Pelodiscus sinensis: one gene and its partners. The protein of the gene in region 3 purifies or fractionates together with the protein of the main gene of each other region. This does not show direct contact. Links are inferred from orthologs where the notes say so. Each region holds a gene or a part of one and is shown on either strand. Other genes may lie near its edges.

Region 1 (8,260 bases), on a different chromosome or scaffold from region 3:
TAGAAAACATAATCAAATATGACATTTAAAGCACTTGAAAAGTGTATCCAGTATCTACTAGCCTGAAAACTAAGCCTCGGTGAAAAATATATGGGCTTCCAGGATTTAACAGAAGCAAAGATTACTCGTGGGGGAATTCTGTGACTTGACTTTCCTCAGAGTAACTGAGGTAGACACACAACTAACTAGGAATCTACAACAACTTAGCCTGTTATATATTTTGAAGAGTTTGTTTGTGGATTTGTTTGTGCAAAATAAAGTCATACTTCCTGATTACCTACAGACACCAAATTTTGCATAAACAATCCTGCCACTTAAATTAGCTGAATGCACTACTGTTTATACCAGAATATGCTTGGTGAAAGGTTTAAATAATTTTTTTTAATTGGAAAAAAGTCATGACTATTCTGATTAGAGTTAATAAAATATGTGCAAACAAAATTAAAATCAAGTAACCTATTCCACTGTCATTTTAGTGCAAAACATTTTTACTGTTACAAATCACAAAATAATTCAAATTAGTTACAGAAAGAGTAATGGAAGCTTAGCGAGTTCCTGATTCAAATTTACAATGTATGGTAATTATTCAATAAAATGAATAATGTTTGAAATTGAAATCCTACAAATTTAAAACTGTTCTTTTACTTCCCTTTTGCAAGCACATTAATAAAAAATTCTATTCTATTGAATTTCTTGAACTTTCCTATAAGTGTAATCTATGCAAAATGACTCTGCCTGGTCAAGGACGGGTCTCATCTGCTAGTATACTGTAAACAAGCACATTTTCACTAATCCTTTATTTTATTTTGCTAGTATGGCTTATGTGCTCTAATGTGTAGGTGACTTTTACAGACCATCTGTCATACATATTTAGCCCAATAAAATGCTTAAGGACCCTATTAACACATGGATTCTGCATCTTTTCTGTGGGATGAGTATTTACAAATTTTCACTATGGCACGCCGGGCTCCTTGCCCCACCGGGCAGCCCTGCTACGCTCCTGGCCCCTTGCCCACCCCGCTATGCTCCTGGTCCTGCCAGGGACCCCTGCTGTGGTGTGCTAGTCTGGCCCCACCAGGCAGCCCCACTGGGTTGTTGCCTGGCTGCTCAGATGCAGCACACTGGGCAGCCCAGCTGCAGGGAGCCCAGCCACCAGCCCTCCACCAGGACTTGTTGGTCCTACATCCATGGTCCTGCCAGATGATGGATGTTACTGGAACAGGGAATCCCCGATTACACATGTTCAACCTGTACATATGAGAATTCAAAATGTCTGAAAACCAATATACTCTAAAGCTAAGGAGGCTATAAATATAAGAAGTGAAGGAAACCCTGCATAATTAGATCCCACAGAAAAAATATCCAATCTTCATAACCTCTGTTTTGAGGCCTGTGTTACTAAATTGTGTAATTAAAAATGCCAGATCATGGTTAATGTTAACCAAGAGCATAGCAGTGCTACATTTTCATACCCAGCTCAGATTCTGTGACAATGTAAAGATTATACAAATGTATATATCTGCTCACCTGTAACATTTGTCCACCTTCTTTAGTACTCCTATCTACAGTGTATTCACACATAAATCACTTTCTGGTTTAGATGTATAAATTGTTTAATCTGTACATGAAAACTGGAGATCTTAATTTGTAACAAAACCAGTAAAATCAGAGACCCATATGCTCCTATTAAAACCAGCCAGAGCAGGATTGGAACTTCATATTTTAAAAGCTTCTAATAAAGCTGAACTAATCTTATTTAGTTTAGACAGTCTGAGCTTTTTCTGACATTTAAGAGGTTAAACTACTTTAAAAAAAATCGATACCAATATGTTTTGTAGATCATAGACTCAAATTATTTTTAATTTTAGCCCTAACTTAATGCCATTCCGATCATCACATCTAAATTACTTTCTTCAGTAAAAATTAACCTCCTTTTACTGAACAGACAACCTTTACAACAGGCCAATTTTCACTGAGTTTAATGCCACAGCATTAATCTGGATCCCACATTCACAAGTCAATGATTTATTGTATCAAACTTGCCTTTTTTGCATGTCTTGCAAAGACATGTGTTAGTCGCTTTATTCAATATAGATGCTAGTGTAGAGAGCGCTGCTCTCTATTAGGGATGTAAAATCCTGTGTAATTAGTTAAATAGTTAAACATTAAAAACTGTCATTTATTCCTTTCCTCCTTCAGCCTATTGTTCACTAAACTATATACATTCCTGCTAGTCTCAAGGCCCAACAACGACCCTTCCCCCTCCTCAAGGCAAGCCACTGCAATCAAGAGCGGCTACCAACAATCAGGCACACACAATCAGACGTGATTTCCTCAGAGCCTAAAAATGCCAGCGCTCTTCCCTCTTAACGCAAATCAAGCAAAAGATAAAGGTGCTGTCAGCTCCAAAAGAAGTTTGTTGTGCACACGTTAGTGAAAAGTAACAGTAACCAGCACCAAAAGGCTAATTAAATATGCACTATCCCACCCAGATACTTTACTCAAAGATCAGTATAATTACTGAGAGCTGACCGGGGGGGTACAAGAATGTCTTGCTCGTGGGTTGTACGAACAGGGAACCCCCAATTCGAGGGGGCGGCTTTCCACGCCGGACTAGACAGCCTGCGTGGTTTGCATTGCTTGTTTTTTTGAGCAACAGCTTCTCAAGGACATGGGAACAATGTGTGCACCAAACACATCCTGCCTCTGCCTAGGCCAAGCAGCAGTTTCGGAGCGAGGCGCGTTAGGGTCTGCACGTTGGACTCGCCGCCGCCGCCGGTAACAATGCACCGAAGGCTACTGCTGCTGCGACAAACGCATCGGGCTGCCCTTGCCACGCTGCCCCCCGCCAGGAAAATACCCCGGTCTCCCCGGCACGCCGAGAAAGCCCTGCAGGGCCAGGCCAAGCTGCGGGACCCACCAGCTCTGCAAGATGCGCCTGCCCAGCCAGCCACCTTCTCGCTCTCCCGGCGCAGGTTGGGAAGGGAGGCTGCGGGCCGGGCAGTGGGCACTTACCTTTGGGGCTGCTCTCTGGCAAATAGGGCGGCGCGGTAGGGGTGACATTGCCGGAGCTGGGCGCGGACAGCAGAGGGGAGCGCTCGTCCACCCCGTCAGCAGCCATGACTATGCGGCAGCAGGGCCGGCTGAACCCGGGGAAGAGCCTTTCCTCGCGCGCCCGGCGTGTGAGCGTGTCACAAGGCACTGGAGCGAGGGGGAGGAGGGGAGCGCGGCCAGCAGCGCGAGAAGCGGGGGGAGGGACTGGGACCTGGAAAGTGGGGGGGGGAGCACAAACTGGCCCTCCCTATGTCACAAGCAATAGGGCGGGGATGGGGAAGGACAGAGCTTCCTCTCTCTGCAGCCCCTGCCGGAGTTGGGGGGGGGGGGATAACTCGTGTTGCAGCTGTTTTTGTTTTCCGGGGCAGTTAATGCGGAGAGGTTCGTGTCCAGGCTTTCCTCACGCAAGGAAATGGGATATGAGCAGGAGAGAGAGCACCACCTGTAGTTGCCTGGGGCACAAATGCAGTAGGGAGGGAAGCCCTGGCACGGTGGGGGTATGTACACCCCCATCCACCCTTGCTTACTACATCTGTCCTCTCAGTATAGTGTCAAGAGTCACTGTCTCTTGCATTGGTCCAGTAAAATATAGCACTTTACCCACATTGTTCCTGCAATATTATAAGTCAGATTTTCATTCCAGAATTGTTTGTGGGCACCATTAGCAGGGAGAGATAAAGAGAGGGGATCATTTTGCTTTTTCATCTGCAAGCTATTAATAAAAGGAGGAAATATAACATTTTCTCTCTTTACTTTCTGCTTTTTTTGCTAGTGGTTTGACCTGGTGTGCCTCCCTCTAGCTCAGACACTCTCAAAGTTTTTATATGATACTTTTCATTGGGGTATCTGTACAAAATTACAGACCAGGAAGACCATGGAAAAATCACTTTATTAAAAATAAAATAGATTAAGACATGTCAGATGTGGTAAACAACAAAAAGCAACGGGTGTTTACCCAAGTTGTAGATGGCCTTACTGTTGCAATTTTTTCAATTGCCTCTTTCAAAACCCTGAGGAGGAGGCAGATGTTTCTCCCCTGCAATTGTAAATACTGCTGTGTTTATAAAGATGACAAATCAGTGACTTTTATTGCCGCTTTATTTATGCATAAGGAAATTCATGCACTTTTTGTCATTTGAGTCTACTGCTCATGTGAGGAGGGTTCTCCTAGTGTCAGTGAACTCTCTGAGGACACAAGGCACCACTTAAAACTCTCTTTGCCTGAAATTCCATTAAGGCACCAGCTGGAAATCCCAGCAGAAGAACTTTCCCTATTGTATTTTCACCCTAAATTGCAAAGAGACATATGCTTGTCACACTGTAATCTAGATACATTACCTATAAATTAGAGATTCCCATGCCCTCCTAATGTATGGCATGCAAGTGATAACATAAGTTATCTAGTTATTCTGGATAATGACATGCTGCAGAGCATTAGGCCAATTGCCAAGTGTCATCAACCATCCCAGAAGTGTGGTTATCTAGGACAACTGCACTTCCTGAAATTGTGTTATTGGGAGAACGTTCCTACATTTATGTAAGAACAGGATAATAAGTCCTGATCCTGAACTGTGAAGTTGGATGCAAATACTATGATTTCATTAGTCAGACTCCTTCCCTCTTACTTTTATTTTATAAGATATATTACTTAGAGCTGGGCAAAAACAACAACAACAAACCACAAACCAAACCCGACAGCAAAAAAACAAGCTGAAAGTTTTCCACTAGAAAATGCTGACTCAAGGAAATAGAAACATTTCACAGGATTTTGTCAAAATTGTAGATGGGGAAGTTATCCAAACATTTTCAGTTAGCTAAGGGTGAAATATTTAGTTTCAATAAGGATGACGTGTTTTGAATCGATCATTTTGATTTGTTAATATGATATGATAGCCAACTCTAAAATGTAATTAAACAATCCAGATATAACAAGATATTTCAACCTTATTATTTCAATAAGATCATTTTGACATTTCCGAAATTAATACTTCAGGATGGAAATTTCAACTAATCATTTTGATTCAGGGTGAAAAATAATTTTGAAATACTGACATTTCCTGCAGAATAGAAATTCTAACTTTTGACCATCTGTAAAGGTGCCTTGTGAGGAATAATACATGATAGGGCACCTGGTTGTTTATTGCATATTGGCCAGGAACCAGTCTGAAGGCCAAGTACTTCCCTCATCCAGCAAGTGCTGTCTTGTCATCTCAAGCCCCTGTGCTCTCTGGAAATGCTATAACTGACTTCGCAGGAGGGAAACTTTAAAGCTAAATAATTCTTGCCAGGACTGTTAAAACTCAAAGGCCCAGATCCTGAAAGGCATTTAGATGCCTAATTCCCATTGGTTGGATGCCTAAATACCTTTGAGGATCTGTGCTAATGTGCTGCTTAACCACAACTCTGGTTGGGGTTGTAAGATGTAATAGGTTTTTAGTATTTGTAGTTGAAATGTACCTCCAGCGCAGTTTCCTACCATGGCCTTGTTGGCAAGTACAGAGTTTTTCAACAAATATGCAGGTATATTCTCTGTTGGATTTTTAGTAAAGGACCCAACATTTCCAGCCACACCCCTATTTTTGCTGTACTGTGAAAGATACAATAGCTAGTAGAAAGATGAATAAAAAGAGAAAAAGATAGGCATGATTAAGTTCACCAGTACCCACTGCTCTGCAGTGACAAGAAATTGATTGTGTGAGACCCATCTACTGCATTGTCCCATGCCTCAGAGGAAGACTTACAAACATGAATATCACTGCCAGTTGCCCAAAGGGAAAAGCTATACCACAATTCAGATGTTAATCTGTTGAACCCTGAGCATATGACCAAGAATTATTGTAGTTAAGCATCTCATTAAACTGACCCATACCTGAGAATGATCGGTGTCTAAATAATTATTAGTTAAGTAAATATAAAAGTAACACACAATCACAGCTCCTTTCAATCATAAAGGATTTGCTATGCAAGAACATCCAGAAAAAAAAATGCAGATTAACTGAGAGATGTAAATTTGACATGGTGTAGTTAATCCACATTAAATTTTTGTGTGGACTCTGTAATTCGGAATTAAAATAGCCTTAATTTGGTTTAGGTGACCCCTGATCTATACTACAGAATTAAGTTGAGAAGCATAGAGCTTAAGTCAATGTAGTTAGGTCGACACAGTTCAAGTGCAGACAATGCATTGCATACATTAAATATTACTGCCTTTCAAAGTCTGTCCCATAATGATCCACACTGAGTCTACACTACCATGGGCTGTCGAATTAATTTACGCAACTTCAGCTACATGAATATTGTAGCTGAAGTTGATGTATTTAGACCCACTATGGAATCATCACCATAGTAAATCAACAGCTGACAATCTCTTGTCAACTCCAGCTATGCTTCTCATTCTGATGGAGTACCAGAGTCAACATGATAGCACTCAGCGGTCCATTAGACACGATAAATTGACCCCCCCCCCTCCAATGGATCAATTGCTGCCCATCAATCCAGGAGGTAGTGAAGACGTGCTCCTAGTAAGGATGAACACCACCAACACAGGTGTGGACATATAAAAGCAGTTTAATTACTACATTAGCTGAAAATCAATGTAACATAGATTGACTTAATTTTGTAGTGTAGACTTGTCCTTCATACACTCCGGAAATGAATTAAACTACAGTCAAAATTAAGACTACTTTAATTTTGAATGAGGGTGACAATTACTAGAATTTCTGTACTCTTAAACAACAAATTGGAGTACTAAGCTAATAATTCCCAGCAAATAATTTGTTTGTTGAATTTTTCCTATTTTTCATTATTTTAAATTAATTTTATGGAAGTAACCACAGGTTTACCACAAGTCCATGCGGATTTACACATTTAGATCTCATTCAGGCAATGGGATCTACTGCAATGCACCCCTATGCCCTTATGGTGTTTTCATTGACTCAGGTAATACATAGTTCCAAATGGTGTCCAGCAAGTTGATCCTATACATTATGAAGTATTGAGAGATTATACAGAAACTACATTCTTTTGAATTAACTAAGTTGCAAGGTCAAGCCTCTCAAGAGATAGAGAGTGCCGTATTTAAGGTTCCTACAAATAGATAATTCAGCTCCCTTATGCACATATATTACAGAACACCCTTTAATTATATTACTGTGCTGGGTTTAGTCACAAAGATCCCATTGAGACTGTCACCTTATGCGCTGATTATACCACTAAGTCTGCCTACCTGCCCTCTGGAGCATCCCATCACTCCAACCTGCTGGGCCAGAAATTCTGGTTTCCCCCAGAGTCGGTAATGAGTTGAGATCACAACCCAGAGCAGAGCGACACAGACACTGAAATCACCTCAGCTCTGGGAAGGGTCAAGCAAAGGGACTTGACACAGCAGCCAGGTGCACAGCCTGCGTTGGACCAAAACCCCAGATAAATCCATCTCATCCATTAACTGGTTAACTTTACACATCTCTATGCGTCATATTTCTAACTTCAAATACAGGAATGATACATGCACACAAATAGAATATGCACATTCTGCAGATTATAATGTTAAAATATTTTACATTAATTATTTTACCTAAAGAATATTTGAGTTAGGCATATTCATATTCAAAAGCATCTTTCCATATAGATTATGGGGGTGCGACATAACAATGATCAAATGCTATTTTTTCCACAAGACCCTTACCTCATTCAGTGCACAGGAAGACCTACCCTAGCATCTGAGCTCACAAGTGAGCCCAAGAAAGCAAGAAACAACTTGATGAGGCTACTAGTGAAGGCTGAAACTCCTCCCTGTAAAACTACCAGCTCTGGAAGCTGAGGAAATAGAATGTGGGTCCAGTGGATTCTTAGCATTTGCTATTCCTGAGGTTTCTCTTTTATATATATTGGGTACTGTTTAGGGTTGCCAGGTGTCCGGTATTCTACCAGACAGTCCAGTTTTTGCACCCTCTGTCAGGTAAAAAAAACTGTGCAATGTCCGGTATTTTCTGTTTTTCTGGCTGGGTGCCAGACAGAAACCTGGCGGGGGCAGGAGGAGTGGCTGGGAGGCGGGCCCACAAGCGGCGCTGGGAGCCTGTGGTAGCATGCAAAAGCCTGGCAGGGGCGGGGGGAGTGGCTGGGAATCCCAGCCACTGCCCTCGCCCGCCTTCTGCACACAACCACAGGCTCCCAGCACCGATTGCAGCCCCACTCCCTGTGGTTGTGT
Region 2 (7,939 bases), on a different chromosome or scaffold from region 3:
GTGGGATTGGCAGCTGCGGGTAGACAGCTTACAGCTCACAGCAGTTTACAGGGAGCGTGTGTGCTCGCTTGCAGTGTTTGACGCATGACTATGCGCATTATTCGCTCGTTCATTCTCTCACCTTTCCCAGGTCTCCCTGGGGCCTCTTTCACATTTGCTCATCTCTCCACTTGTGTCACCTGCGTCCTGCTCCAGAGCATTCATCATCTGGATCAACAGCACGAGATGCACCGAGGTGCACAGGGTGCTCCAGGTGTCCCTTCCTGCTGCAGCCGTAACCATGGACCATGGTATGAAATCCTGCCCCTGTTGGATATTTCAGCGCCCGCATCTCAGCATCTACAGATGCGTGGGTCTTTGAGGTGTACAAGGCCTTCTGGGAAAGAAAAGCTGCATCTGCCTTGAGCTCGTTACAGAGATCTCCCTTGGCTGCCAGCACAGGGGTGAGAGAGGTACTAGAGACCAGCTGCTGGCATCTAGCTCACAGTGGCTACGTCTAGACTGGCGTGATTTTCCGGAAATGCTTTTAACGGAAAAGTTTTCTGTTAAAAGCATTTTTGGAACAAAGCATCTAGATTGGCACATCGCCATTTTCACAATCGGGGCTTTTTTGTGGAAAACAAATCTGAGCTGTCTACACTGGCCCTTTTGCACCAAAGTTTCGCGCAAAAGGGACTTTTGCCTGAACGGGAGCAGCATAGTATTTCCGCAAGAAGCACTGATTTCTTACAGCAGGAAGTCAGTGCTTTTGCGGAAATTCAAGTGGCCAGTGTAGACAGCTGGCAAGTTTTTCCGGAAAAGTGGCTGATTTTCTGGAAAAACTGGCCAATCTAGACACAGCCAGTAAGTGTAGTTGATGCCGTGCTAAAAGCACATGATGCCACGTCCACATTAGGGCACTCGCCATCGCTCTCAGCTGCCCTGAAGGCAGAAAGGGGGGAGGACAGAGTCCCATCCAAACCGTAGTGTGGACAGAAGCCCTATGGAATTCATACAGTAGGCCAGGGCTGGCCAACCCACGGCTCGCAAGCTGCATGCGGCTCTTTCCCCCCACTTCAAGTGTGGCTCAGGAAGCCTCCCCCATGGCTCACAAGGCTAACCCTGTGCCCCTAAAAATGGCCCCCGTCCCCTGTTTCTCTGTGCTCACTGCCACCCAGAGTTCTGTTTAAAGGCGCAGTGTCCCCCCCCCTTTTTTTTTGCTCGACAACTTCCCCCCCCTGGCTCTTTGTGCTATATCCCCAACTATTGTGGCTCTTTGCCTTTAATGGGTTGGCTACCCCTACACTAGGCCATGTCTACACAGCACAAATAACCAGATATAAACTAGGCTGTTTTAACCCAGTAATGGCCCAACCTCGTTATGATTTATCCTTCACTGTGTGGCCAGAAAGAAAATATCATAGCCGTGGTATAGGCCACCGTATCTCTCAGGGTGGGAGGATGTGGTATTCTCCCTTATGCGGACAGAAGGGGACATGTTATAATGTGGCTGGACTACATATATATCCAGGAGAGAGCTGGATGTGTTTCTGTGTGTGACTGTAGGCTGGGGTTCCCTGGGATGGTTGGGGCACGGCTCAGCAGCCCTGGGGCTCACTTCTGGTTTATGTCTTACGTTTCCAAAAGCTCTTTTGTAAAGCAAGTCAGGCTCTGCCTGGATGAGGGGCCCCATGTCACAGCAAGGTCTTCTTAATAATCATCAGTCTGCCTCTGTCGTTAGCGATAGTTCTGACTTTGTGCCTTAGTTACCCATTTTCCTCTGGCCATAGGGATCTCCTCACTCTCACTAATGGGTGCGGAGACAAACAGCCCACACCCGCATGCCATCCTGCGCCGTGTCTGCCACACGGCTTTAGATCACCCAAATCAATACCAAATGCTCCCACTACGGCATGTGAAAGGGCGGTTTGCTTAAACCAACACAGCAAATCCAGCGCCAGCATTCTGGCTAGGAGGAATAACTCACTTCCTTGCTCTGCACATTTTTCTAGAGGTGACCTCACCTGGTCACCATTAGCAAAAAGGAATTTGGTTGCTAACAACAGTCACACAAAGCCGCTCCAGTCCTCAGCCCAGGAGCCTATTTTGCGAGCTTTTTGCATTGCACACCCCCTTTCGGGAATTCAAACTGAGAGTCAGCCTGAGGGTTGTGTCATTCTAGGATCCCTGTGTTTGGTTCTGCTCAGCATGTGACTCCCCCTAAGCTGGAAGAGAGCAACCCTTTCACAACGCATTCGCTTGTGCTCCAGTGCTCATCCCACGCACTGCAGCAGCCCTGCTGAATGAGACATGCTTTGGATCAGCACTGGGCCACCCTGGAGCTCGTGGATTGAAGGGGACAGTTCCTGGGACTCCTCGCTCTGATGTACGGGGCAGGCTTTTCAGTTCTTTAAAATCCCACTTGTATGCACCTGTCCTGCTAGTGCAAGGTGCTGGGCTGAGAACCCTGCACGGGACTGGAACAGTGGGCAGCCGAAGGCAGCTCGCCAGCCCTGCCATGCCAATGAACCCGGACTCTGACCTGGGAGGGCTCCGTTAGGTAGCGTTCCTATGACTCTTTCAGTCCTTGGCTCTCTGCTGAGGTTCCAATAAGACTGGCTATTTGTCCCTACTGTAGCTATGGTTTCTGTGATGAGGACACTTGTCCACAGGATGCAGGATTGAGACCTCCCTATTTCTTCAAATTAAGAAGCAGTTGGAGGCTGCCTGCAACGGAGGGGCAGAAATCCTTTCAATGAAATTGGAAAGCAACACATTTTAAATGGACAAAGGGAAATGCATTTTAATATAATGTCTCCTTAAACGGCTGTATATAGTTAGGTACGTTTCCAAAAAGGCTGGGAGAGGCTTTGTAAAAAGAACAACCCTTTCTATGAATGTCTGCAATGACAGTAAATTAGAGGAGCTGCCAATCCTCATGTTTCAGGCTGTAAGCTCATCACTGCCTGCTCAGGAATGAATTTTGCTTGGTGGTGTAGTATTGCACAAATGGATTACAGGGCGTTTATATCTTCTCTTGCATGGGGTATAAGAACCTGGGTGGTCAGGCACTGGCCAATGTTTCCATTAAAACCAACAGAAGCCACAGGTTCTTAGCACTTCTCAAGATTAGCCCTATGATGCTTTACGGCTGTGTCTAGACTGGCCAGTTTTTCCAGAAAATCAGCCGCTTTTCCGGAAAAACTTGCCAGCTGTCTACACTGGCCGCTTGAATTTCCGCAAAAGCACTGACTTCCTACTGTAAGAAATTAGTGCTTTTTGCGGAAATACTATGCTGCTCCCGCTTGGGCAAAAGTCTCTTTTGCGCAAAACTTTTCCAGTGTAGACAGCTCAGATTTGTTTTCCGCAAAAAAGCCCCGATCGCGAAAATGGCGATTGGGGCTTTTTTGCGGAAAAGCGCGTCTAGATTGGCCACGGACGCTCTTCCGCAAAAAGTGGTTTTGCGGAAAAGCGTCCATGCCAATCTAGACGCTCTTTTCCGAAAATGCTTTTAACGGAAAACTTTTCCGTTAAAAGCATTTCCGGAAAATCATGCCAGTCTAGACATAGCCTACATGTTTAAAGCACTGCACCCACATCAACAAATTAATCTGATCTAACATTACAAACCGTTCCAATTAAATCCTACTTTCCACATTGCATTTGATCACTACAAGTGCTGTGGGATTTTATGCTTCCTCGCTTGAGGCTCAGACTCTGGGAAACAAAACGGCTCCATAACTTTAATTCCAATGCGAATTAAAACCCACAACAGTCACTAGTGAACTGATCTGAATCCTGGTGGACAATGCTCTCTCAATAACAGCTTCTCCTTTCCCTTTGATTCACCCTCCCGTCATTCCTTGTGAAATCTTCCAGTGTAATTACACCAGGCCCTACCCTCACTGACGTCAATGGCATGCTCCTGTTGACTTTCACGGGAACCGGAATAATTCCTGGGATGCCCAGCTCCTCAGGCAAGGACTTTATCTTCATATTGGCTGATAAAATGCCAAACACACCTGTTATGTAATAATGCTAATTAATAACTACATGTACAGTCACGTGATACTGTTTCTGGTCCCTGGTTGGCAACCTATAATTACAGGCTACATGTCCACCTATATAGTGTGATGAGCTATCCATTATGTTTATGTGGCCTCTTGATCGATTTGCAACAGTGCAGACTTCCAGCCACTACAATTCTGCAGTGGCCTGGGCTGGTATGTACTGGCACCACTTTCTATGGGATGGAGTTAGAGCTGCTCCACTGTGTGTCAAAAGCCCCATATTGCAGATTCTAATGGTGATTCTCCGTTAGCTCCAATGGCCTGAAGTGGATCTGGGTGGTATCCCTGCTGCAGTGCAATGGGGGGGGGGGGGGGGTTGTCTTGCTGGTAGGGTTGACAACCCTCCTGGATTGCCTTGGAGTCTACATGGTTGTGTGCAAGGCCGCCCCTTGGGGGGATGCAAAGCTTCTGTGTGCAAGGCTGCCCCTGGGGTGGTGCAAGGCTGCCCCTCCCCCTCCCCCTTCCGCTCCCGGGTTGCTGGTCACAGCACGTGCTGCTGGGTGCTGAGCCAGCCGCTCTTGTTGCTGCGCACGCGCACTGGAGCAATTCCCGCTCCGTTGAATGCGCGTGCGCAGAGTGCGGCAACATGGCGGCGCCCGTGGACCTGGAGCTGAAGAAGGTACCGGCCGGGCCCGCCTGGGGCGCTGGGGGCGGCGCTCGGGGGCTGCAGCCGGAGGCCCCGGGGCCGCCCTTGCTGGGTGTCCCGAGCCTGGCCCGGGCAAACAGCGGGGCCCTGCCCCTCCCCCCGCCCGCGGCCCGGCCCGAGTCTCTCGGGGGGGCCCTGGCCCGTGTCGCTGGGGGGGCCTGGCCCGTGTCGCGGGGGGGGGCCCTGGCCCTGGCCCGTGTCGCGGGAGGGGGGGCCTGGCCCGTGTCGCTGGGGGGGGACCCTGGCCCTGGCCCGTGTCGCTGGGGGGGGCCCTGGCCCTGGCCCGTGTCGCGGGAGGGGGGGCCTGGCCCGTGTCGCTGGGGGGGGACCCTGGCCCTGGCCCGTGTCGCTGGGGGGGGGCCCTGGCCCTGGCCCGTGTCGCTGGGGGGGGGCCCTGGCCCTGGCCCGTGTCGCTGGGGGGGGGGCCCTGGCCCTGGCCCGTGTCGCTGGGGGGGGCCCTGGCCCTGGCCCGTGTCGCTGGGGGGGGCCCTGGCCCTGGCCCGTGTCGCTGGGGGGGGGGCCCTGGCCCTGGCCCGTGTCGCTGGGGGGGGGGCCCTGGCCCTGGCCCGTGTCGCTGGGGGGGGCCCTGGCCCTGGCCCTGGCCCGTGTCGCGGGAGGGGGGGCCTGGCCCTGGCCCTGGCCCGTGTCGCGGGAGGGGGGGCCTGGCCCTGGCCCGTGTCGCGGGGGGGGGCCCTGGCCCTGGCCCGTGTCGCTGGGGGGGGCCCTGGCCCTGGCCCTGGCCTTGGCCCATATCTCTGGGGGCCCTTCCCTTGCAAGCCCCTGCTGCTCCAAACGGAAACAGCAGCCCAACGTGCTATGGCCATAGTGCTCGAGAGCATCCTTTCCCAAGCCGTAACGGGCCCTCTCTCCCCCCCCCCCCATTAGGCTTTTACTGAACTGCAGGCCAAAGTTATCGACACGCAGCAAAAGGTGAAGCTGGCAGATATACAAATTGAACAACTCAACAGGACAAAAAAGCACGCACACCTCACGGATGCGGAGATTATGACTCTGGTGGATGAGACTCGCATGTATGAAGGTGTAGGGAGAATGTGAGTAATTTTTACTGATGGAGAAGGTTACGGCTACACTCTGCCCCATTGCCAATAAAACCTGCTGTAATTAATTGCATGTAGATTATGCCACTTTGAGAGATTTCTTTCTACAGTCAATGAAGCAATACCAGGTTTGTAAATATTAGATGCCTTCTGTATTACATCTTACCTGCTATACCTCTACTCTTCTTTTTCAAAACATACCTTCTTTGTATGAGAATGGGAAACTGTCGTATCCAGAGGTGGCAGTTAGAATAGTGGTGATCCTGCACAGGGGAAATTCACTCTTGGCCATCTGCAGGGCTTTTCTATCTCCTGTAAGTTGTTGAATACAGGGACAGAGGCTCTCTCATTGTCACTTATTTGTTTGAAAAGCATTCTGGCTTTTTTGTATCATACTGTGTTTGTTTAGGTGTCATCTTATCCCATTTTTAATTATCATTTCAATGGATCTTCGGTAAGTGAGACTTTAGTAATGGAGATTGCCTGTCTCCTAGAACTGGAAGGGACCTTGCAAGGTCATCGAGTCCAGTCCCCTGCCTTCACAGCAGGACCAAGTACCATCCCTGATGAATTTTTGTCCCAAATCCCTAAATGGCCTTTGCAAGGATTGAACTCACAACTCTGGGTTTAGCAGGCCAATGCTCAAACCACTGAGCTATCCCTCCCCCCTTACTGCACTGTGTTTCTCAGGATCAACCTTATAGGTACAATGTTTGCTACCTACCAGTTTTCAGACACAATTTATTTCAGTGAGTGATTACATATTTTTGTTTGTTGGTTTTTCTCATGTGAACTATAATCACATTTGGGACTTCATGAAAGTTTATCGATTCCACCAGCAGAGTTTGTATTCCTCATGAATGCTGATGACAAAATGTAGATTTGCAAGAAGTTATAATTAGCCTGTTCAACTTTATGCCTCATGAAATATGTATTTGTCCCTAAAAATTGTGGGTCTCCTAATTTAATGCACTCGTTCAGGGGCTGTGGTTGTACAAAGGAACTAAAATGGTGACTTCTTTAAGTTCTGTGAAAGGTGTTCTCTGGACTCTTTAGAGACCCAGGTGTAGTGAAATTGATACCAAAGAATTGTTTGTTCAGGTGCACTCTGGCATATATTAATTTTAAAACAATACTAGTAAAGAAGGAAAATGTAATCTTTGCACATAGGTTTCTTTTGAAGACAGTCCAATCTTAAACTAAAGCTACTATCGGGGTAGCCGAGTTAGTCTGTACAGAAAAAACAACAAATAGTCTGGTATAACTTTTATAAAGTGCTACCAGACAATTTGTTGTTTTTAAAGCTACTCTGTATTTTGATGTCTCGGGTCTGGCACATCAAAATTTGATGGAATGCTAATGATGCTTTCCTATTGTGATTACGATACCCTCTTGTAAAAGGCTACATGAACTAGTCTTTAAGTTAATAGCACATTCTTAATGGATAAGTGTTTGTGCTTAATGCTCTGAAAATTAAAGACAGACCAAGGTTTGGGAGTACTAAGGTTTTTCTTTCTGGTATTGTATCATAGTATCGACAAATTGCCACTTGAAGGGGTGTTCTGTGTCTCTCTTCTAGGGGTCCAGTATACTGTATGTACTGTCTCTTTGTGTCCTGTAAACTGCGAGTAAGCACATTATTCATGCCGCTGAATTGAATTTTGTGGTGTTATATGGAGGTCGTATTGACAGGCACCTTCAAAGGAAATTAATTTCAATCCCTTCCAATGAGGCAGAGAAGTGAATGATGCAGCCTGTAGGCAGATCAAAGTCATAGAGTTTAAGGCCAGAACAGACTACCAGATCCATCTAGTCTGTCCTCCTGTATGTCATAAGTCACTAACCCATCTAGCAGGCAAAAACTACATGCAACAATCAAAACTAGACCAAAATATTACAGCCACAGAAGAGTAATAGGCCGCAGGCAGAAATAGGAAAAAGTGAGGCGCACCAATGTCAGAATCCCCTGCATTGCAAGGAATTAAGTGAGATATACTTGGATAATCCTGGCATGTGATCTGCAGGAGAAGACAAATCCCCACCCTGGTTACCTCACTCATGATGATCAATTAGACCAGGGCTACTCAACTGTGGAAGCCCCAGGGCCCACAATGATACTCACAGCACATGCCGAGGGCCACAACTTAAGTGTGGTTGCATATACTTGCAAATATATGCAAATAGAT
Region 3 (7,233 bases):
GACAAATCGCTTGATCATTGTCTTCGATCCACCCCCTCTGGGGCACCTGGTGCTGGCCACTGTCGGCAGACAGGATACTGGGCTAGATGGACCTTTGGTCTGACCCAGCCTGGCTGTTCTTCTGTTCTAATAACAAACTAGCACGCCAGGCTCCGTAGCCAGAAAGAGCCCAAATCCAGCTCCCGCCAACAAGCAACCCTACAATAACAATAACTCTCGAATACCACATTTTACAAACCTCTCCCCTCTGATCCCACCTTGGAATACCAAAAGAAACTACACTGTCTCCTTACAAGCCTCCCCACAGCTACTCGGGAACAAATCCACACAGAAACACCTGACCCCCGACCAGGATTGTTCTATCTGCTTCCCAAGATCCATAAACCTGGGCACCCCGGACGTCCCATCTGTGACGTAGTGGGGGTGCTTGCTGGGCTGTGGTGACCTCTGCTGTCTGGAGCAAGACCCAGCAAGGAAAACCTCACTATGCAAAGGTAATGCCAAACTTGTTGAACCAGACACCCCCCATGGAGAGGAACAAAGGAAGGTGGATGCTGCCCTGGCTGGGGGGCAGGGCTGGAAGAGGGTGAGGTTAGTTGCTGTCTGTGAGCATGGAGGAGACAGCCTAGGAAAAGGGGCTGGAGTTTAGGGGCCCAGTCTCCCCCATCTCAAGGGGGCCTGAGGCATCCTAGCCCAGCTCTGTGACCAGATTCCATCTGTGCTGTGCTGTATCCTGGAGAGGCAATAAACTTCCTCTATTCCACCGGATGCGGTTGTATCGAAGGGCTTGGCTATAGACGATGGATCGTGTGGTGTGTTCTGGATGGGAGCTGGAAGCATGTAGGTAACTGTATGAGTCGGTGGGTTTTCTGTAGAGAGTGGTGTCTAATTTTCCATTGTTGATTTGTACGGTGGTGTCCAGGAAGTGGATCTCTCGTGTAGAATGGTCCAGGCTGAGGTTGATGGTGGGGTGTAGGTTGTTGAAATCTCTGTGGAATATCTCCAGTGTTTCTTGGCCATGCGTCCAGATCATAAAGATGTCATCGATGTACCGTAGGTAGAGGAGGGGTGAAAGGGGACGGGAGTTGAGGAAACGTTGTTCTAGGTCAGCCATAAAGATGTTAGCATACTGTGGGGCCATGCGTGTACCCATGGCTGTGCCGCTGATCTGGAGGTATAAGTTGTTCTCAAACTGGAAATAATTGTGGGTGAGAACAAAGTTACACAGGTCTGCTATCAGGTTGGCAGTGGTGTCCTCTGGGATAGTGTTTCTAATTGCTTGTAATCCGTCTTCATGTGGGATGTTGGTATATAGAGCTTCTACATCCATGGTGACACTACTGACTTCCTAAGGAAACTACAAAACATCGATAACCTCCCCAATAATACCATCCTTGCCACCATGGATGTAGAAGCTCTATATACCAACATCCCACTGACAGAGACAACCGCATCTGCTCTAATCCCACTGACAGAGACCAGAAGCTTCAGGATCTCTACCAAGCATTTATAAACCTCAACTACCCACCCGGAGAAATAAAAAAGCAAATTGAAAGAGCCAGACAAATACCTAGAAACCATCTACTTCAAGACAGACCCAAGAAAACCAACAATAGAACACCACTTGTCATCACCTACAGCTCCCAACTTAAACCTGTCCAACACATTATCAATAAACTACAGCCTGTATTGGAACAGGATACCATACTCAAAGAGGCTCTGGGAGACAGACCCATAGTCTCCTATAGACAACCACCTAACCTCAAGATGATTCTTACCAACCACCACAGGACATACCACACTAATACCAAGCCTGGTACCTTCCCTTGCAACAAACCCCGTTGCCAGCTTTGTCCACATATTCATTCTGCCGATACCATTATTGGACCCAACCAAGTGAGTTATAAGATCAAGAACACATATTCCTGCGCATCCAGAAATATAATCTATGCTATCATGTGCCGAAAGTGTCCGTCTGCTATGTACATTGGATAAACATCTCAGACACTTCGCCAAAGGATTAATGCCCACAAAACAGATATCAGACAAGATCACAAAGAGAAAACAGTTTCTTGCCACTTTAACCAGAAAGGACACTCTCTAAATGACTTGAAGCAAAATGCAGGACAATGTAGCACTTTAAAGACTAACAAGATGGTTTATTAGATGATGAGCTTTCGTGGGCCAGACCCACTTCCTCAGATCAAATAGTGGAAGACTGAGGAAGTGGGTCTGGCCCACGAAAGCTCATCATCTAATAAACCATCTTGTTAGTCTGTAAAGTGCTACATTGTCCTGCATTTTGCTTCAGCTCCCCCAGACTAACCCGGCTCCATTTCTATCACTATTCTACAATAACAAAGCAGCCTGGCAGCCCGCTCCTGCTGGCCACCCTGCGATCCCAAACCAGCCTGCCCCCTCCCCCCCAGCTCAGGCCCCCGCGCAGCGCGCCGCGGCCGGACAACCCTACAATAACACGGCGCCCGGCGCGCCCCGGCAGGGCGCAGGCGGGGTCAGGTTCCTGCCGGCTGCGCTTTCGTCCCAGGGCGGCGGAACGGAGCCGAGACGGGCTGGCAGCCGGCCCCGCAGAGCGGGCGGGGGGCGCAGTTTGGGACAGGGAGCGGCCCGTGCTCGCCCCGCGGCGGCGGCAGGGCCCCAGGCAGCCCCCTGCCGAGCTCTGCACCGGCCCCCCGGCTCGCTCCCTACCTGCGGCCCCGCCGGGGCTGGGCGCTGCTCCATGCCGCCCCGCGCCGCGCCGCGCTGCTATTCTGGGCCTGCCTCGGCCCGGCCCCGCGACTGGTGCCAGGCTGGCGCCCGCACAGCTGGGACGGGAGCAGCCTGCCCGGCGCTCGGCGGAGACTCTCTGGAGCCGGCCGGGCGCGGGCACCTGTCGGGGCGGCCCCGCTCCGGAGCTGACGGGCACGGGGAGCCGCCTGAAATAGAGACCGGCCCCTGGCCCAGGCGCGGGAGCGGCCGCCGGGAACGGGGCGGGCTGGGGACGCACGGGGCTGGCGCTGGGCCCGCGGGCGGACGGACGGGGCCAAGGGCCGGGAAGGGGCGCGCCTCCAGCACAGCTGGTCCCGCACCGGGACTGCGGCTGCCGCTTCCCCCGCACGCTCGCTCTTCGCGCCCCGGCTTTCCCCGGCCTGGCACGGGCTGGGGGAGCGCGAAGGGGTCTCGCCCCAAGGGCGGTGGGTCCAGTGGCAGATACACCCTGTCCCGCTCCTCTGTGGGGCCCAATGGGTCAGGCAGCGCACGTGGGTCTGGGGATAGATGGAGGCGGGGGGGTGTGTGCTGGGCTGTGGTTGTGGGGAGGGGAGTAGTTATAGGGTCGCAGGGGGGTGCTGGGTTGTTATGGTGGGGGGGGCCACGTGAGCTGAGTTGTTATTGTACGGTCGCAGGGGGTGCTGGGTTGTTATTGTAGGGTCGCGGGGGGGGGTGCTGGGTTATTGTTGAGGCCATATGAGCTGGGTTGTTATTGTAGGGTCGCGGGGGGTGCCGGGTTGTTATTGTAGGGTCGCAGGGGGTGCAGGGTTGTTGTGGGGGCCATATGAGCTGGGTTGTTATTGTAGGGTCGCAGGGGGTGCCGGGTTGTTATTGTGGGGGGCCGTGAGCTGGGTTGTTATCGTAGTGTTGCTCGGGAGAGACCAGCTTCCCGGGGTGGGGGGGAAGGTCAGGCCGGACCCGCAGGGCCGCTGCCCTGGCGCCCGGTGCCACGCTCCCGCCGTGCCGCACGCCTGGCTCCCAGCGGCCGCCCACTGAGCATGGCTGCCTGGCCCCGGCCGGCCCCGCTCCCCTCACGCACTGCCGCTGGGGATGCCGCAGGCGTGACTCACGCTCCTAACAGGGAACCCAGCCTCCCCCCGCACAGCCCGACACCTGCTAGGGCGCCCCGCACGGGCCGGCTGCAGGGAGCGCTGGGCCCGGCGCGATTACCCCCTCCCGGACCGGCACATCCCTGGCCAGAGCGCCCGGCCCGGCTCCCAGCACGGCCCCCGTCGCCCCAGGGCTCGAGCCTGGGCGGATCGAGATCTTCCAGCTCCGCCCGGCCGCCCTGCTGCTCAGCGCAGCGGGGCGCCCGGCCCGGCCCCGGGAGGGGAGAGGGGAAGCGCAGGGCTGCGGGCAGGGCTCTGTTTCTACCTTTGTGCGGAACCGCTGCTCTGTGCGCTCTGCGCTCAGCGGGGCGGCGCCTGGGGCTCTCCAAGCGCCCGGCTCGCAGGGGACAGGGGTGCGGGTGCAACCGGGGGAGGGGCCCGGGGCCCGCGTTCCCCAGCTCGTGTGCCCGAGAGACGCGCCCGCCTCGCTCCTGCAGGGAACCTTCCCTCCCGGTTTCGGCTCTTCGCCTCCCCCCGGGCTCGCTTGGCGAGGCGCGCCGGCTATTTTTGGAAGGCTCCAAACACCCTGAACGTGGCGGGCCGGAGGCCGCCGTGTCTGCGCCTGGGCTGGCGGGGAGGCCCGGCCCCAAGGCTGCAAACCGGGCGAGTGTCCCGGGGCAGGGACCGCAGGGCGCGGCCGCTCCCGGCTACACGCGCCTCTACCCCAGCGACGCGCCCTAGCTGCTGCCCGCGTGCAGGGAGCAGCTGGTGGGGGGCGGGGCACCTCCTTCTAGCGTCAGGAGGCAGTGAGGGCTAGTGGGTAGGGCCCAGGCCACCTGGCTCCTGTTCCAGATGGGGGGGGGGGGGGGAGAGGAGATCGGGCTAAACCCCTTTGGCTGCTGGGCCCAAGGGCGGATTGGGGTTTGGCGGGGCCCCGGCCGGGAAAGGGGAGCAGAGGGGAACACAGGGGATGGGACTGCCAAGGGAGCTGCACCCACATATTACACCCCCCCCCCCCACAGGTTCACCCCGCTCTGCAGCAGCAGGGCACATGGAGCCTTGGTGCAACCGCAGCTCTACATTTGCAGCAAGCCTGGCCCAGGAGCCCCGCTCCGCTGGCAGGGGAGGGCTCCCATGGGGGGCGGGCAGGGCTCTAAGGCAGCAGAGGCCAGGTCGGGGCTGCATTGCTAGGGGTGCGGTGCCACCTGCACCCAGCCGGGATGCTGATGTAACTGCCCGGGGGGGATTTGAACCTGGGACCTCTAGCCCCTTAGGCTGTGTCTACACTGGCCCCTTGAATTGCCACAAAAGCACTGGCCATCTCCTGTAAAATCGGCAGGGCTTTTCCGGAAAAACTCTGCTGCTCCCTGTCGGGCAAAAGTCCTTTTCCGGAAAACTGGTCCAGAAAAGGGCCAGTGTAGACAGCACAGGACTGTTTTCCGCAAAAAAGCCCCGATGGCGAAAATGACGATTGGGGATTTTTTGCGGAAAAGCGCGGCTCCATGGGCACGGACGCTCTTCCGGGAAAGTGCTTCCAGAAAGGCATCCTGCCAACGTAGACGCGCTTTTTCCGGAAATACTTCTAATGGAAAACTTCCGTTTTAAGCATTTCCGGAGAAGGGGGCCAGTGCAGACGTAGCCGCAGTGTAGGAGGCTCTAGAGCTGGCGCCAGAAGGCTGCGGGCGCCCTCATTCTCCCATGGCAGTGACCCAGACGCGGTGCGGGGGCCTCACTGGGCTCCTGGGCCCTGCCCACGGCTCCCCGCACAAACAGGGCCCGGAGCCAAGCGGGAAAAGCGCTGCCTGGGGGCACAGGGGATTTCCAGCAGCTTTGGGACCTGCCAGAGGGCACTACCCAGGGGCTGCTCCGCTGGCAGCACCGTGCCCCCCCCTGCTGGGATGGGAGAGTTCAACATGGCAATGCCTGGGGGGCAAAGGACCCCCCCGGCTTTCACCCAGCAGCCAGCCTGGGGCTCCCGCAGGCAGGCCGGGGGCTAAGGGGAGCTCCAAGGCCAGTATGGACAGCGCGTGGAGCAGGGGGGAGCTAAGGGGGCCAGGCTGGTGCCAAAGGGCCCACCCGCGGCCCCCGGCTGCTGCCAAGGGGACTCACTGCCACAGCTGCAGAGAACTCCACTGGCCCCAGGCTGGGCGGGCGGATCCCGCTGCCGTTGGAACAAAGAGTTTTTCCAGATTTCAGATTCAGGTCCCTCACTTGCAGGGGGCGTAGGAGGAGCCCCCGCAGGTCAGAGCAGGGGGCCAGCTCACCCAGAGCCCTGGCTCCATCAGCAGCCAAGGGCAGGTGCCTGGGAGGGAACGAGATTAACCCCTCCTACCCTGTGGCCCCAGCTTCTGGCCCCCCCAGAGTCCAGCCCTTGCAGGACCTCCAGCCTTCACACTGCCCTCAGCAGGGAGTTCCACCAGTGAACACTGCTGGCTGCAGCAGGGGCTGTACACGCCCTGTGCCAGGCCCCACCTGCTGAGATCCCAGGGGCCTGCAGAGCAACAAGAGCAGTGGCCCTCTCCTGCCAGGCAGGGTAAGCCGAGTGGCACGGTGTGGGTGGTGAGCACCAGGAAGGGGTTGCCCCTCCCCTCCCCTGGGCAGAGTCGAGGGGAACACACAGGCCAGGCAGTTTCATTAGTAGGCCTGGGCAGGGAGAGGGGGCCCTTGTGCTGGAGAGTGAGGGGGGCAGGGCCAGCTGGGGGTGGTGCCCACCGCACGTAGGGCCAATGGGCTGGGGTGGGCGCTAGGGGCCAGCGACACGGCTCGAGTACACAGCGCTTAAGGCGTCCCCAGCCGAGCCCGCCCGGGGGCCTGGGCTCACAGCACAGCAGAGGCTGCCTCCTCCCTCCACCTGCTCCCTGCTGGCACCCAACAGCTGTCAGGCCTGGGGCGCACAGCTCTGCAGGGGCCACCCGGTATCTGTACCACGTCCAGGCAGCCGCTGGGACAGATGCTGCCCTTGGGGAGCTGGGATAGGCCAAGCTCGGGGGAGCAAAGGGTTAAGTCCTTTCCGCCATGGGGTCACAGCCACCAAGGGCTGCACCTCCCCTCCCAGCCCCACAGCCCAGCCAAGGCTGCACCGGAAAGCACAGAGGGGCCTGTCCTGCTGTCAGGTAAATGCAGACACCCAGCCCTGGGCCGGCTCCCTGCACAGAGCTGCCCCCGCCCTGCCTCATCGCGGGAACAGGGCTGCTCGGGCCCAGCTCCAGCAGGCGCCTCCTGGCAGGGAGTGCGGGAAGACGGGGAGCAAAGGGGCGTGGGGCAGGCTCCCCCCGTGCGCCCCTCGGCTGAGCCGGGGAAAGGAGCAGGAGCCGCTGCCCCGGGCCGAGCGCAGGAGCCACACAGCGCAGCGAGAGCAGCAGAGGGTGTGAAACTTTAATCCAGCTCCTTGGAAAAGGCAGCTAAAAAGCTCTGGCGA

Evidence for each region.
Region 1: the proteins of PRKAG3 (region 3) and PIP4P2 purify together in Homo sapiens (affinity purification with mass spectrometry; 3 studies listed by BioGRID and IntAct, with this or other methods). This does not show direct contact. The link is inferred for Pelodiscus sinensis from reciprocal best matches to the Homo sapiens genes PRKAG3 and PIP4P2.
Region 2: the proteins of PRKAG3 (region 3) and PFDN1 purify together in Homo sapiens (affinity purification with mass spectrometry; 3 studies listed by BioGRID and IntAct, counting the BioPlex papers as one, with this or other methods). This does not show direct contact. The link is inferred for Pelodiscus sinensis from reciprocal best matches to the Homo sapiens genes PRKAG3 and PFDN1.

The regions. Positions count from the first base shown.
Region 1 is NC_134712.1:42,802,310-42,810,569, reverse strand, and holds the start of PIP4P2 (type 2 phosphatidylinositol 4,5-bisphosphate 4-phosphatase), read right to left. Parts: upstream 3,265-8,260; 5' UTR 3,122-3,264; coding exon 3,016-3,121; intron 1-3,015. UniProt on the Homo sapiens protein: Catalyzes the hydrolysis of phosphatidylinositol-4,5-bisphosphate (PtdIns-4,5-P2) to phosphatidylinositol-4-phosphate (PtdIns-4-P).
Region 2 is NC_134727.1:2,154,257-2,162,195, forward strand, and holds the start of PFDN1 (prefoldin subunit 1), read left to right. Parts: upstream 1-4,542; 5' UTR 4,543-4,635; coding exon 4,636-4,668; intron 4,669-5,580; coding exon 5,581-5,747; intron 5,748-7,939. UniProt on the Homo sapiens protein: Binds specifically to cytosolic chaperonin (c-CPN) and transfers target proteins to it. Binds to nascent polypeptide chain and promotes folding in an environment in which there are many competing pathways for nonnative proteins.
Region 3 is NC_134717.1:773,570-780,802, forward strand, and holds the start of PRKAG3 (5'-AMP-activated protein kinase subunit gamma-3), read right to left. Parts: upstream 3,344-7,233; 5' UTR 2,740-3,343; coding exon 2,707-2,739; intron 1-2,706. UniProt on the Homo sapiens protein: AMP/ATP-binding subunit of AMP-activated protein kinase (AMPK), an energy sensor protein kinase that plays a key role in regulating cellular energy metabolism.